2 linked regions of the Diceros bicornis minor genome follow. Each later gene encodes a partner of the first gene's protein in a complex. Links are inferred from orthologs where the notes say so. Each region holds a gene or a part of one and is shown on either strand. Other genes may lie near its edges.

What was found. Proteins that work in one complex are often made in the same cells at the same time.
Region 2: CUL7 (region 1) and CCDC8 share a complex: the UniProt entries of both Homo sapiens proteins name them as parts of the 3M complex. The link is inferred for Diceros bicornis minor from reciprocal best matches to the Homo sapiens genes CUL7 and CCDC8.

Annotation. Positions count from the first base shown.
Region 1 is NC_080753.1:22,623,926-22,631,524, forward strand, and holds the start of CUL7 (cullin-7), read left to right. Parts: upstream 1-4,593; 5' UTR 4,594-4,688; intron 4,689-5,533; 5' UTR 5,534-5,541; coding exon 5,542-6,121; intron 6,122-6,553; coding exon 6,554-6,705; intron 6,706-6,857; coding exon 6,858-7,352; intron 7,353-7,599. Other genes in the region: MRPL2 (large ribosomal subunit protein uL2m), read left to right, coding at 227-322, 1,468-1,636, 2,461-2,602, 2,715-2,830, 2,907-3,017, 3,324-3,397, 3,753-3,965. UniProt on the Homo sapiens protein: Core component of the 3M and Cul7-RING(FBXW8) complexes, which mediate the ubiquitination and subsequent proteasomal degradation of target proteins. Core component of the 3M complex, a complex required to regulate microtubule dynamics and genome integrity.
Region 2 is NC_080773.1:21,981,453-21,988,511, reverse strand, and holds CCDC8 (coiled-coil domain-containing protein 8), read left to right. Parts: upstream 1-4,000; 5' UTR 4,001-4,681; coding exon 4,682-6,178; 3' UTR 6,179-7,011; downstream 7,012-7,059. UniProt on the Homo sapiens protein: Core component of the 3M complex, a complex required to regulate microtubule dynamics and genome integrity. It is unclear how the 3M complex regulates microtubules, it could act by controlling the level of a microtubule stabilizer.

The DNA of each region.
Region 1 (7,599 bases):
CGGGGCCTGTTTCATAGTCACGCGACCTAATAGCCGCCCGAGGATTGGCCCTGACCACGAGCTGGGAGGAAAGGAGGTGTGTCTACAACTCGGTCTCGGGTTCTCTGCCTGCCTCTTTTTACATCATGATGGAGCGACGACACCGGGACCTATAGCGTCATCCAGGAGCGCCAGGTGGCTAAAGGTAATGGTGGCGTGCTGAGCCCAGCGGAGCCTGGCCATCGTCATGGCCCTGCGGGTAGTGACGCGCGCTCTGGGCTCTCTGAGCCTCACGCCCCCGGCAGCCGCCGTCCCCAGCCCGAGCCTGCTCTCGGCCACCCAGGTAATCCTACTGACCTGGAAATGAGGCTGTTTCGGTTCGGGCCGCCGGAGAGGGGGCACTGGGGATGGGAGGCAGGGAACGCGAGGCTGGTCAGGAGTCATGCCGGCCTGTGACCTTGGATAAGTCGCTCTCAGCCTCAGCTTTCCTCTGTAGGTGTTGCTGTCTCACAGGGCCGCTGGATTCCTCAGACGAGCTATTGGAGGTGAAAGTGCTTTACAGATCACCCGTTGTACAGGTTTCAATAATAATTGATATTTGTTGAGTGCCTATCATAAGCTTAGCAAAAATAATAGACGTTTTAAATAAATGAACTCCTTTCAACCAGTCTGTAAGGTAGTTACTATCATTCCCATTTTACATATGAGAAAACTGGTAAGCAGTCCAAGGTCACATATCAGTTATCCAACCTAGGCAGTTTGGCTTTAAAGCCTGGGCTCTTAACCATTATGATAAGCATTAAGGATGAGTTATTGCTGAGATTAGAGAATGCAGGGCAAGAAACCAGAATAGGACCCTAAAGAGAACATATCACAAGGTCCCCAGTGGGTGATTAGTGAATCACAGAAAAGAGAAGTTGTAAATCTTGCTCCTCTGGACCTTTCAAGCTGATGGTAGTTTGGCAGATGAATACTTAAAATTCAAAACCAAACCAACCTACTCTGTGAAATGCTGGGAATACAGCAGGGAACAAGAAAGAAATGATCCTTCTCCATTCATATCTGAAAAACTCACAGAAACATAATGCAGATGGGCAAAAGGTATTGGTGCTAATGGTGGTACATGGATGTGTGGAAGTTACCAGCTCTGGAGAAGGGAGTTGTTTAGGAAAGGAGAAGTTTCCTGGAGAGAGTTTTGAGCCAAATTTGGAAGGAAGTGCACCAAGGGGAGAACATTCCAGTGAAGAAGTACTTCAGAGGTGAGAAGATCAAATGAGGAGAGGTAATCAATACACACACCTGTGGATAAACATTCTGCATTGTTATTTGTGCAAGTGGTAAAGAGTGGAGTTTTGGGACAGCTAATCTAGAACACTTCCAGGAGGAAGTCGGCTACAAGCTAAACTTAATCTGTGCCCTCTCCCTTGATTCTCTGGTGCTTCTCCTTCAATTAGCTTTAAAGTGAAAAAGATTTTTGTTAATCTCTAGGTAACAAAAAATGCCCTCCTCCAGCTGCCCACTGCCTCGATGTTGCTTCCCTGCCGCCCACTCCTTACCTCTGTGGCCCTTAGTGCCAATTTTGTTTCCTGGAAGAGTCGTACCAAGTACACCATCACACCAGTGAAGATGAGGAAGTCTGGGGGCCGAGACCACACAGGTGGGAACAAGGGCAATAGGATTTAAGCAGTAAAGAGGGAAAACATGGTAGGATCCTAGGTCTGTATATAGATACAGGCAGAGGAATGTAATTAAAAAGCATTTATTAGGGGGCTGGCCCCATGGTGTAGTGGTTAGGTTCAGCGTGCTCCGCTTTGGTGGCCCGGGTTCATGGGTTTGGATCCTGGGCACGGACCTACACCACTTGTCAGCCATGCTGTGGTGGTGTCCCACATGCAAAATAGAGGAAGATTGGCAGGGATGTTAGCTCTAGTGAATCTTCCCCGAGCGAAAAGAGGAAGATTGGCAACAGATGTTAGCTCATAGCGAATCTTTCTCAACAACAACAACAAAAAAACATTTATTAGACTCCAGCATATACTATATGTGTAAGAGTGAGAGAGTAGAATTCAAAGCAACAGACAAGTGGTCTGTGCTCCTAAAGACAATCTAGGTACTTGAAGAAAACCGGACATACACAGGGAGTTCCATGACATTTTTCTTCGCACCCTTCAAAAACTTAACAACAGTTGAAATTGAGCACTATTTACATGGCTCTCAGTAAACTTACTGAAATCAGTAATTTGTAGAGATTTTATCTGGAAGTTTTATACAATTTCAATATCATATAATTGTGTTTTTACCAAGCTCCTTGTAGATGTTTCCCCATCCCTATTGACCCCATTGTACTGTGCAAGTTTTTATAATTTTCTGCTTGTGTCATAATGTTGGGAAGCACTGCTCTCTCCCAGGATGGGCCTGTTCCCAATGCTGGGAGCTGATTCATCTGACCTGGGTCATGTCCCCACACTGTCCTGACCATAGGCCGAATCCAAGTGCATGGTATTGGCGGGGGCCACAAGCAACGCTATCGTATGATTGACTTTCTGCGGTTCCGGCCTGAGCAGGCAACCAAGCCAGGACCCTTTGAGGAGAAGGTTGTCACTGTCCGCTATGATCCCTGTAGGCAAGTTTGGGATGTGGGGTGATGATGGCGTGGCTGAATGACTGCTCTGTGGCTTTTCAGAAGATGTAGGGCTGCCTAGATGGTCTGCTCACCCGAACCTCACCCTGAACAGGTCAGCAGACATAGCTCTGGTTGCTGGGGGCAGCCGGAAACGCTGGATCATTGCCACAGAAAACATGCAGGCTGGAGATATAATCCTGAACTCTGACCACATAGGCCGAATGGCAGGTGAGAGATGTCTGCCAGATGTGTGTGGGCTGGGAGGCTGCAAGGGTTCTGGTGCTGATGAAATTCCATCTTTTAGTTGCTGCTCGGGAAGGAGATGCACATCCTCTTGGGGCCTTGCCTGTAGGGACCCTCATCAACAACGTGGAGAGTGAGCCAGGCCGGGGAGCTCAGTATATCCGTGCCGCAGGTATAAAGAAGGAAGCTACTTGGGGTTTTACAATTTGGAAGGCCAGAGGGTACCTGAGGTCACAATTCTCTGGACCCACGGGCTCACATCTGGTCCACTGGCAGAGCAAAAGAAGGAAAAAACAAGGCAAATGAGGATGAAGAGGTGCTTGTGTTTTGACCTAACATATTACATACATCCTGCTTCAGTGTATCTGCTCCCAAAGGGCAAAGCAAGTGGTGTGGGGTGTGGTGTATGGCCCTCTGTAAAACTCTTCCCCACCTCCTCCACTGTGGAGGGTAGCACAGCTGCTTCTCCCTTTCCCAGGGACATGTGGTGTGCTGCTACGGAAGGTGAATGGGACGGCCATCATCCAGCTGCCCTCTAAGAGGCAGATGCAGGTATGTGTGTGGGTACAGGTGGGAGGGATCAGCACAGAAGCTTTTGGAATGTACCTTTCCTGTGCCGGATAGCTCCCAGGGGTTTTATGTTAGGAACTGCTGTGAGCTGGGTCTGTCCTCTTATGCCATGTGACTAGGCATACCTTGTCAGGCTAACACCATGGTGGAATAGGATACAGTGTCTTTGGTTTTCAGCTACTGTAGGACCCGCGCTCAGGTTCAAGTACGTTGTGCTTTTCCCCTGCCCTCTCCCTTCTCTCATTGAGTGTAAGAAGCCTCCCAAGAATCCAGGCCCTCAACAGTGTCAGGCCCTTTCCCCCTATGTGCATTCTTCTCCATCTGCTTTCTCTGTCAGGTGCTGGATACGTGCATAGCAACAGTAGGCCGAGTATCCAACGTTGATCATAACAAACGGGTCATCGGCAAGGCTGGGCGGAACCGCTGGCTGGGCAAGAGGCCTAACAGCGGGCTATGGCACCGCAAGGGTGGCTGGGCTGGCCGAAAGATTCGGCCGCTGCCCCCCATGAAGAGTTACGTGAAGCTGCCCTCAGCTGCTGCCCAAAGCTGATATCCCTGGACGTTAATAAAATGGCCCCCCATTTTTATCTGTTACTGTTTTTTTGGGAGGGAGGATGGTACATACTGGACTGGGAACAAAACAGGAGCAAACAACTGAGATGGGAGGAGAAAGGAAAGGATAATGTGGGGGAAAGACTGAAGCTGCTCCCCCCTCATTTCCAGCCGCCCCCTTGTCTCAGTTCTTTACATGTAATGGAGGAGGGGGAATAAATGACCTCCAGCGTCTTTCTCAGTTCTGACTTTGGGAACGGGAAAGGCACTTCCGGTGGCAGGAGGGAGGACCAGGAGGAAGAGGAAAGGGCGGCGCAGAGGAGGAGGTGCCGCGCGTCGCCGCGGTGGCACCGGCGGCTCCGCCCCAGCGCTGTCTCAAGGCCCCCACCTTTCCGCTGGGCCCGGCGGAAATGAGCCGCGGCTCCGGGCGGGCGGCGCCGCTGGTGGGACCAGGCCCCGCCCTGCCCTGCCCTGCCCTGCCCCGCCCCGCCCCAGCGGCCGCGAACCTGCGCGCGGGCGGTGACACTGGCCCGGCCCCAGGGCGCTCGCCCTGCGCGCCACGCCCCCTGCCCGGCACGCCCCCTCCCACCTCTCCGCCTCGACCCCCTCAGGGGGCCCAGGCGGGGCCCAAATCTCTGCCAGCGTCGCCGCCATCGTCTGCGCCGCGTCCCTAGCTCTGCGAAGGACAGGCCTCGCGCCAGGACCCCCATCGACTTCTGAGGTGGCCAAAGCCCCGCCGCGGCCCCTGCCCCTACCCTGGGTTATCCTCCGCCCATTCGCCCAGCGAGCCTCGCGCTCACCGGACCTCGCGTCTCCCCCTTCCATCGTACCTCGGGATTCCCGTTTATCCGGCCTAGCCCCCTCCCCCGCACCTTGCCGCGCGCCCCTGGCTTCTCGGGCCTTCGACCCGGGCCACCAAGCTTCGCGCCCGTCACCCACCGTGTCTGCTGTGCCCCCTGTTCCGGTCCTCGCGTCACCCCCCCAGCCTTGCTCTCCAGTGCCTCCAGTCATCAGCGCTTGCAGCCCACCGACCCCTCCTCCCGGCCCATCGCGCCTTGCGCCCCCACTGCACCACCAATACTATGGGTCTCTTGTCTCTGCGACTCACGCTCTTGTGCTTCAACCGTTAGAGCTAGCCCCTCTTCCCATACACACTCAGGGTCTCTCTCCCCAACGCCCCCCAAACACACCCTCCTCTGGGCTTTGCATAGCGCCTTCCCAAGGCTGCTGCAGCCTGTCCCAGGGCCTTGGGACTTGTAACTCCAAGGCTGCCCTGTCCCCACGGTCCCCTTCCCACTGCTCCAAACCAACCCTCTCCAGGCTGCAGGGCCTTGGACCCTCCTTTTAGCTCCCAAATTTTGTGTTCTCTCAGAACAAACACCACAGTGTTCCTCTGCTTAGGCCTGGCTCCACCCAGCCTGCATCAGGCAACTCCTGGGCCCTGCTTTACCCCACCCAGCCTGACAACTGTTCCCACATTTGTTTCCCCAACTTCTGGATGTCCTTGGTTTTCTGACCTCCCCTCTCACTCTAGCTTGCCTGTTCTCTTTTTCTTGTGTGTCCCAGGTGCCAAGATGGTGGGGGAGCTCCGCTACAGGGAATTCAGAGTGCCCCTGGGGCCTGGCTTGCACGCCTATCCTGACGAGCTGATCCGCCAGCGGGTGGGCCACGATGGGCATCCTGAGTACCAGATCCGCTGGCTCATCCTCAGGCGTGGAGATGATGGGGAAGGGGGCTCTAGCCAAGTGGATTGCAAGGCTGAGCACATCCTGCTATGGATGTCCAACGACGAGATCTATGCCAACTGCCACAAGATGCTGGGCGAGGACGGCCAGGTCATCGGGCCCTCCCAGGAGACCACAGGGGAGTCTGGGGCCCTGGACAAATCTGTGCTGGGGGAGATGGAAACTGATGTGAAGTCTCTGATTCAGAGGGCGCTTCGGCAGCTGGAGGAGTGTGTGGGCACCATCCCTCCTGCTCCTCTGCTTCACACTGTCCACGTGCTCAGTGCCTACGCCAGCATCGAGCCCCTCACTGGGGTGTTCAAAGACCCAAGGGTCCTGGACTTGCTCATGCACATGTTGAGTAGTCCTGATTATCAGATTCGCTGGAGCGCGGGCCGGATGATACAAGCTCTGGCCTCCCATGATGCTGGTGAGGAGCAGTGTTGGGGGGAAGAGGGAGCAGGAGAGGGGCTGGGTCGGCTCAGGGCCTCACAGGACACAGTGCAGGAACCTCTGACTTCATCAGTACGTAAACAATTCTGTTGCCCTTCTCTTAGAGTTGGAAAAACAGAAGTTGGGAAGGTGGGTGCAGGCATCTCTGCAGAAAGAGGAAAGACTGAGTCCTCAAGAACTTCATATTAGTTGGCTTTCTATGCAAAGGAAGAGTTCAGAGTTTAGACTGTTAGCCTATTGTAGGAGATAGGTAGATGTGAAAAAGATAGCAAGTTTTGGCTTTTGAAGCAAATCGTATCGTTCCTTGTGTGTAGTGGCAAAAAGATTGGACTGAGAGTAGAGGGTCTAGAAGAGATGCCTGGAAAGGGTGGGGTTAGGGAGCTGTTACTGATTGGGGTGTGGGTTTCAGGGACTCGGACCCAGATCCTTCTATCACTGAGCCAACAAGAGGCCATTGAGAAACACCTGGATTTTGACAGCCGCTGTGCTCTGCTGGCTCTGTTTGCACAGGCCACACTCTCTGAACACCCCATGTCTTTTGAGGGTGTTCAACTGCCGCAGGTATTCTGTGGGGGGCGTTGTGGGGAAGCTATGAACAAGATCTAGGGACCAAGCCTTTGCACCTGTCCGTAGAGGACGGTGTGGAGAGAGGGGCTGAAGCTGGGACAAGGTGGACATAGTCCACATAGGTGGACAAAGATTGCGTCCTACAGGTCCCAGGAAGGCTGCTCTTCTCCCTGGTGAAGCGCTATTTGCATGTCACCTTCCTCCTGGATAAGCTGAATGACAGTGCTGCAGAACCAGGAGCCCAGAACAACTCTGCTCCCGAGGAGTTGAGTGGGGAGAGGGGTCGGCTGGAGCTGGAGTTCAGCATGGCCATGGGCACCCTGATCTCAGAGCTGGTGCAGGCCATGCGCTGGGACTGGGCCTCAAGCAGACAGGGGCCCTTGGCACGGTCTTCCTGTTCCATCTTCCAGCCCCAGCTGGCAGATGCGGGCCCAGGGCTGCCACCCGCCCAGGCCTCCCTCAGGAGGTCGAGGCGGTTTCGCCCTCGCTCTGAGTTCGCAAGTGGCAATACCTATGCCCTGTACGTGCGGGATACACTGCAGCCAGGGATGCGCGTGCGGATGCTGGATGATTACGAGGAGATCAGTGCTGGGGACGAGGGCGAGTTCCGTCAGAGCAACAGCGGCGTGCCCCCTGTGCAGGTGAGCCAGCGCAGGATGGTGGGACACTGCTAGGGATCTCTCTTGTGTGGGGCATAGCTGGGGCTTCATGCAGGGGGCTCTGGCAGGCCACCCAGGGAGAAAACTCTCAGTAAGATTGGGATGGTAAAATGGGGGTCGGCAGTTGCGGGGGGCCACTTGGAGGGCTGAGAAAATCTGGGTTTAGGAGGCTATGAGGTGAGGAAGACTCTCCTAGGAAGAAACTGATACAGCAAGACTTTCCCAAAGG
Region 2 (7,059 bases), on another chromosome or scaffold:
CCATTCTAGACAGGGATCTGATTTCTGGATGTTGAAGACTGAGGACAAATCTGGTGACTGTGCCAAGGTTACAAGTGTCACCTGGGAGAGAAGACTTCGGGGACTGCCCACCCACCTTGCTCCCCACTCCACCCCACCTCAGGCAACTGGGCAAATAAAGGAGGCTTCCAAGGGTGGGGTTGGAATCTAGGGAACCCGAGTGAGTCAAAGCTTGGCTCTGCCATTTCCTGGCTGTGTGACCTTCTTTGGCCTCAGTGTTTCTCATCCGGAAAATGGGAATAACACTTGCTCAGGAGGGGGTGTATGGATTAAAAGAGAAAATGCACAGGGGCAGGGGCAAAGTAGATGCTCAATAAAAGTGAATTATCATCAGTGTTATGACGTTCCAGGCTTGTGGACACACACAAAGGTGCAAGCTGTCACGGAAAAAGAAAACTGCGATGGATCTGCATGCACTGATTCAGAAAGACTTCAAGACATGCTATTCAGGGAAAAAAGCAAGTTTTCTAGCAATAGATCTAGTGCAAGCCCCTCATTCATTCATCAAATATTTTGAGCACCTACCCATGCTGTTCTAGACGCTGAGAATTCAGCGGTGAGCCAAACCAGACAAATATCTCTGCCTTGGTGGGGCTAATGCTCTAACAGGGAGAGACAATAAATAAATAAGAAAATACCAGGAAGTGATAAGTACTGTGATGAAAATAATTCAGAATGATGTGAAAAATCCCCAGGGGGTAAATTCTAAAGTTACTAAAATATACTAATGTAAGCATTTGTTTTTTCCCTGAGAGATATTTAACTGTGGCTACTTTAGCGGGAGAGGCTGGGGACTTGCCGCTGGGGGAGGGAGACGTTTTTCATTGTACACCTTTCTGTAACTTAAGCATTTTCTTCGCATATGTGTGCATCACTTTTATTATTATTATTATTGTTTAAAATGGCAACCAAGTGGAGCTGGGTAGAGAGATTAGGGCCAAGTTTTGTTTTCTTCCCTCAATCTTTTCTGATTTTTCGTTTCTTTTAAACAAATAGAAAAGCAGGAGGTGTAATTATCGTGGTTTTTTTTTCCTAGGACGGCTAGAGAAAGATCTTGCCCGCCAGCGATCTGGGAATCTCAAACACCCCCAGCGGAACTGCTCAGGGGTTGGCAATTTTTATGAGCATGTTGAACATTTGAGGTTTTCATTTCTAGGATAATCCTTCCTTCTCCCACCAAAAAAAAAAAAATCCTTTTACCAATATCTCATCTGGGAGGTCTTTCCTGCTTGGGAGGTGGTGTCTTTATTTCTCAGACCTGGATTCTTTAGCCAGAATTTCTCAAACGGGTGTCCTAGGGACTTTTAGTTTGGGGCCTCTGCGAAGCAGCTGTTCAGGGAAGCAGATTTTGGGGATCAGGCGGAAGCAAGGGATAAGAAGCCGATAAGAGGCTCTGTCCCGCCCCCGCCCTCCGCCAGCGCCCCGCAGTCTCAGAGAGGACTCGCGCCTAGCAACGCGTCTCCTCGTTGCCATGGAGACGGTTAGGAGGCGGGGCGAGAAACCGCGCATCAGGGAGGGGCCGGGTGGCGGGAGGCCCCGCGGGAGCTGAGTGCGGGGGCTGGGACGGCGCCTTGAGAAGGAGGAGGAGAAAATCCAGTGAAGCCTGACGGCCCAGCTCTGCAAAAACGAAAACAACCCGAATGAGCCGATAATTGTGCAAAGGCCTCCCTGAGGCCTTAACCGCCCCTCACCCCCCAAGCATCTCCCTTCCTTCTTTTCCTCTTTCCCTTCCCTTTCTTTTGTCTCCCATCCCTCTGTCTCTAAACATCTGCCTGGTTCCTTCAGGAGTTAAATAAAACCACACAGCGTGAGTTAAACAAAATTATACGTGTTCATTTTCATCCCTTATATTAAAGTCATCAGTGTACCTGTTTTGTTGTGGTGGTTGGAATTTTTCTTTTAACAGTTGTATTTCACTATAATTGGCATTTAAAAACTACCCTGGAAAGGGCTCATGGCACAGAAAGGGTTAAGGATTCCTGGGCTAGAGGGCCCTGGAGAGGGTGGAGGCCACTCTTTGAGTTTAGCGGGGAAAAGGGAGGCAGAATGACCTCTCTAAAAAGGTGAGATTGGAGCAGAGAGAGATTGCCAAGAGGCGATGCGGCAGAACATTTCTGCGTGGAGGGAACAGCATGTGCAAAGGCCCTGAGGTGGGGGACAAGCCTAGTGTGTTGCAGGAACAGCGAAGACGAGGCAGGTGTGGCTGGAGTGGAGTGAGCGAGGAGAGGAAGAGAGAGGGAAGTGGCGAGATCTTGTAGGGCTTCGTGGACCATGGTGAAGACTTTGGCTTTACTCTGAGTGCGATGGAGGATTTTAAAAAGAGTAGAGACAGATCTGACTTAAGTTTTTGAACGATCCCTCTAGCTGCTGGGTTGGGGATGATGTAAGATGAGAGTGAAGGGCACCTTACCCTCTATCTCTGAGGATTCATAACAACAGGACTGTTCAGCACATCGCAGGATGTCTGGTTCCAAGGAAACCCTCTGTGCAAGTTAACTGTTATTATTACTCTTACTCTTGCCTTTGTTGTTGTTGGTTTTTTTGTGGGGAGATCAGCCCTGTGCTAACATCTGCCAACATCTGCCAATCCTCCAATCCTCCTCCTCTTCCTCTTTTTTTTTTGCGGAGGATGACTGGCCCTGGGCTAACATCCGTGCCCATCTTCCTCTACTTTATATGGGACGCTGCCACAGCATGGCTTGCCAAGCAGTGCGTAGGTGCGCGCCTGGGATCCGGCCCGGGAACCCCGGGCCGCCGCATCGGAGCGGGCGCACTTAACCGCTTGCGCCACCCAGCCGGCCCCTGCCTTTGTTGTTGTGCATGTCTTTGCTGAGCTGGCTGCCTCAGAGTCACCTGGGAAGTTTTGCAAACTCTGGTCCCATGTCTTAGAGATCCTGACCTGCTATATCTGTGGCTGAGTCTGAGGGCTTTTCGTTTAATTTATGTGAATTAACATTTTTGATTGCTAAAAATCCAAGCAATGCAAAAGAATATAGAGTGGAAAGCATATGTCTCTGCCGCCTCTGGGAGTCCGCAGTCCCCTTCCCAGAAACAGCCACTGTGGGCAGTGCCTGTACATGTGACAAGCACATGTGCACACCTAGGCCCTACACACACACACACACACACACACAGACTGTTTCAGATTCAAATCCAGATTCCATCCTCCTTGGCCGTGTGACCTTGAGCAAATGATTTTATATCCTCAGCTATAAAACGGGAAGGATCAACATATTACCTGTCTCATAAGGTTAGGGGGAGGATTTCATGAGTTAATTCATAGAAAGCTCTTAGAATGGTGCCTAGGACATGGAAGTGCCCTGTAAAACATGACTAGCCTTCTTTTTCATAGCTGCGTAGTATTTCACTATCAGATTAGACCATAAAATTGAATCAGCCCCCCCCATGAACAATTAGGTTCATTCATTGGCTCAAAAATATTTATTGAGCACGAACTTGTGCCAAGCCCCACACTAGGGGCTGGTGCACTAAGACCCTGGTACCAATTTCTCCCCCCAAATGTATGGGGTAGGTACATAGGAATTGCGGGTACCAGAAGTCACGCGATTTTAAGTGGTAATATGTAGCGTGTATGGCCTTCAAAAGGACGGCCTTATTAGCACACCCACCTCCGGCGCTTGGCTGGAACCCGCACGTTTAGGGTGGCAGGTTTGGGAAAGGATGAGAAACGACGGTCTGTGTCGGGAAAGGTGCTGACGTGGGCCTCGGAGCGCGTTCCGCTTGGAAGCGGTGGCCCCAGCGAGGTCCGGGGCGCGGCCACACCCCTGTGCGGGAGGGGAGTGAGGGCGCCCCGAAGGGAGTGGACAGCCCCCCTGTCAGTCTTCCCGAGTCAGGAGTGTAAGCTGAGAAGGGGGAAGGTGGGCCTCGTTGGAGAAGGGCGAGGAGGAACTTCCTGCCCGCGCGCGCTCCTCGGCACTGAGCGCGCGGGCTGGGAGGCGGGACGCGCCTGAAGGTCAGCCTGGCCGGGGGTGGCAGCCTGTCTAGGGGCGGGAGACCCTCCTGGGGGCTGGGCTGCGGCCTCCAAGTGCTTCGGCCATATTGAATAGCCAGCCGTCTTTGTCTGCAAAGTCCTCTCCCAAGTTCCAGGCGCGTCCCTGGTGCCCGGGGCAGGAAGAGCCACGGGCAGCCCGTGCGCCCCACCACGTTGGCAGCTCGCGGTGGGCTTGGAGCTCAGGACTGACCTCACCCCGGCTCACGTAAGCGTCCTGGGAATCGATTCCCACCAGCCCTTGGGGGGAGCCAGACTTGGTCAAGACCGGACTGGCTGCAGGCAGAGAAATTGGGAAGTGTTGGTTCATCCCTGGCTGGGGAGGCGAGACTTTCCAGGCTGCTCTGCTGGGACCTCACTCCCACCCCCAAGACTAGGGGCTTCGTGTAGTTTGGGCTCGTGGCCCCCACCCCATATTTCACCCTGGAGATCTTAAAGACCCTCGAGAAGAGCCATGTGGGGGGCTGGTTCCCTTGGGGCTTCCTCCCCTCCCCCGACTGCCTGATTCTCTGGAGCGTCCCCGATGTCTGCAAAGACGTGGATTTGGACGTCCTCGTGGACGCCTTGAAGCCCGTGGGGACCTTTAAGAAGATCGGCAAGGTGTTCCGCAGGGAGGAGGACTCCACAGTGGGGATGCTCCAGATTGGGGAGGACGTGGACTATCTGCTCATCCCCCGGGAGGTCAGGCTGGCCGGGGGCGTCTGGAGGGTCATCTCCAAGCCCGCCACCAAGGAGGCGGAATTCCGGGAGCGGCTGACCCAGTTTCTGGAGGAAGAAGGCCGCACCCTCGAGGACGTGGCCCGCATCATTGAGAAGAGCACCCCGCACCCACCCCAGCCCCCCCCAAAGCCGAAGGAGCCCCGAGGGAGGAGAGTCCAGCAGATGGTGACCCCGCCCCCCAGGCTGGTCGTGGGCACCTACGACAGCAGTAACGCCAGCGACAGCGAGTTCAGTGACTTCGAGACCTCCAGGGACAAGGGTGACCAGGGCCCCAAAAGCCCGGGATGCCGCAGGAGGGTGCGCAGAATGCCCGTCAGCTACCTGGGCAGCAAATTCCTCGGGAGCGACCTGGAGAGCGAGGAGGACGAGGAGCTGGTGGAGGCCTTCCTCCGGCGAGGGGACAAGAAGCCCAGCGCCCCACCACCCCGCCGCCGCGTGGCCCTGCCCGTGCCCGTGTTCGACAACAGCCCGGAGCCCCAGCTGTCCAAGGCGGACAGGTGGCGGGAGTATGTCAGCCAGGTGTCCTGGGGGAACCTGAAGCACAGGGTGAAGTGTTGGGCGCCCAGGTCCAGCCCCGGGGTGGGCGAGGCCCAGCAGGCCTCAGCCAGGGTGGAGAGGGAGGGGGCAGCGGCGCTGGGCAGCGCCCATCACGTGGGGAGCGCGGGAGACGGGCGGGTGCCTGGGACCCCCCCAAGGCGATGGAGGCCCAAGATGAACTGGGCCTCGTTCCGGCGGCGCAGGAGAGAGGCAGCCGCATCCACAGCTCAGGTGGCGGAGGCTGCAGAGGATCAGAGGGCGGAGGCTGCAGATAATCAGAGGGCGGAGGCTGCAGCTAATCAGAGGGCGGGGGCCATAGGTGTCCAGAGAGCAGAGGCCCCAGCTGTCCAGAGGGCAGAGGTTGCAGATAATCAGAGGGCAGGGGCCCCAGCTGTCCAGAGGGCAGAGGTTGCAGATAATCAGAGGGCAGGGGGCCCAGCTGTCCAGAGGGCAGAGGTTGCAGATAATCAGAGGGCAGGGGGCCCAGCTGGCCGGAGGGCAGAGGTTGCAGATAATCAGAGGGCAGGGGCCCCAGCTGTCCAGGGAGCACAGGCTGCATCTAATGGGGCAGAGGCCATAGCTGACCAGAGGGCAGAGGCCCCAGCCATCCAGGAAGCTGAAGCCTCAGCTGCCCGGGGGGCCACGGGGGCAACCTCAGGAGCCAGGACCCGGAAACAGGTCAAGACAGTGAGGTTCCAGACCCCCGGACGCTTTTCATGGTTTCGAAAGCACCGGAGAGCCTTCTGGCACACTCCCCGATTGCCAGCCCTGCCCAAGCGAGTCCCCAGGGCAGGCGAGGCCAGGCACCTCAGGGTGCTGAGGGCCGAGGCCAGAGCAGAAGCAGAGCAGGGAGAACAAGAAGACCAGCTGTGAGGTGAGGGCGGGGGGCCGCGGGGCACCCCACCACCTGCCTCTCGCACGCTTGTCAGAGATGCTCTCTCTGCCTCCACGCTTGAAGATGGAGGTGGGGAGAGGGGCAGACAGCGCCCCTCACATCTCCACCCAACACTCCCCTTTCTTTTCTTGTTCAAGTTTTATCTTTCATGTGTTGATTTTTTAAGTACAGACTCCTGTAGTAATCCAAAGAATGTAAAGAAAGAAACCCACCCAATGGGGTTGCATCGCCCACGTTTTTAACTTCCTCAAATGCAACCCTAGGTGCTCAGCTTGGAAAAGGGACAGAGGTGGGGGAGAAATGCTCCTTGAACTTGGCACAAGCCAACTTGCAAATAAAAACATTTACAAACTGACTTCTTGACTTCGGACCTGGCCACTGAAGAAACCTCCGGGGTGCTTTGGTCACGCCCTGGTGTCGTGTCTACTCCCACTCTCCATGATGCTGACACTCTGCCAGCCATCCCCACGCCCCTGGGTTCTGCCGGCTAGGAGTCTGGGGTCTGCGGTTCACACACCTCACCCGACCCTGATTCCCAGGTACAGAAGAAGCATTCCGGAAACATGTCCAAAATGCAGATTCTGGGGCCCTTCATGCCAGAGCTGTGGATTTGCTTGAGCTGGCTGTGCAGCCCTAGAATCTCTGTTGATCACGCCCCACAAACATCTGGGGCATCTTGGCCCCTGGACATGTTGAAAATCATTGCAATGGGAACAGGCCCCCAAGGCGGGTTGTGGTGTAGCACTGTGTAGGGTCCTGTGACTGGTGCTTGCCATGGGGAGAGATCGGGTTGCTAAGGCCCCGTGGGAGCTGGGGGGCATCTCTGTATTGTCTTGCGTCCTCCCCCCCCCCCACAGCC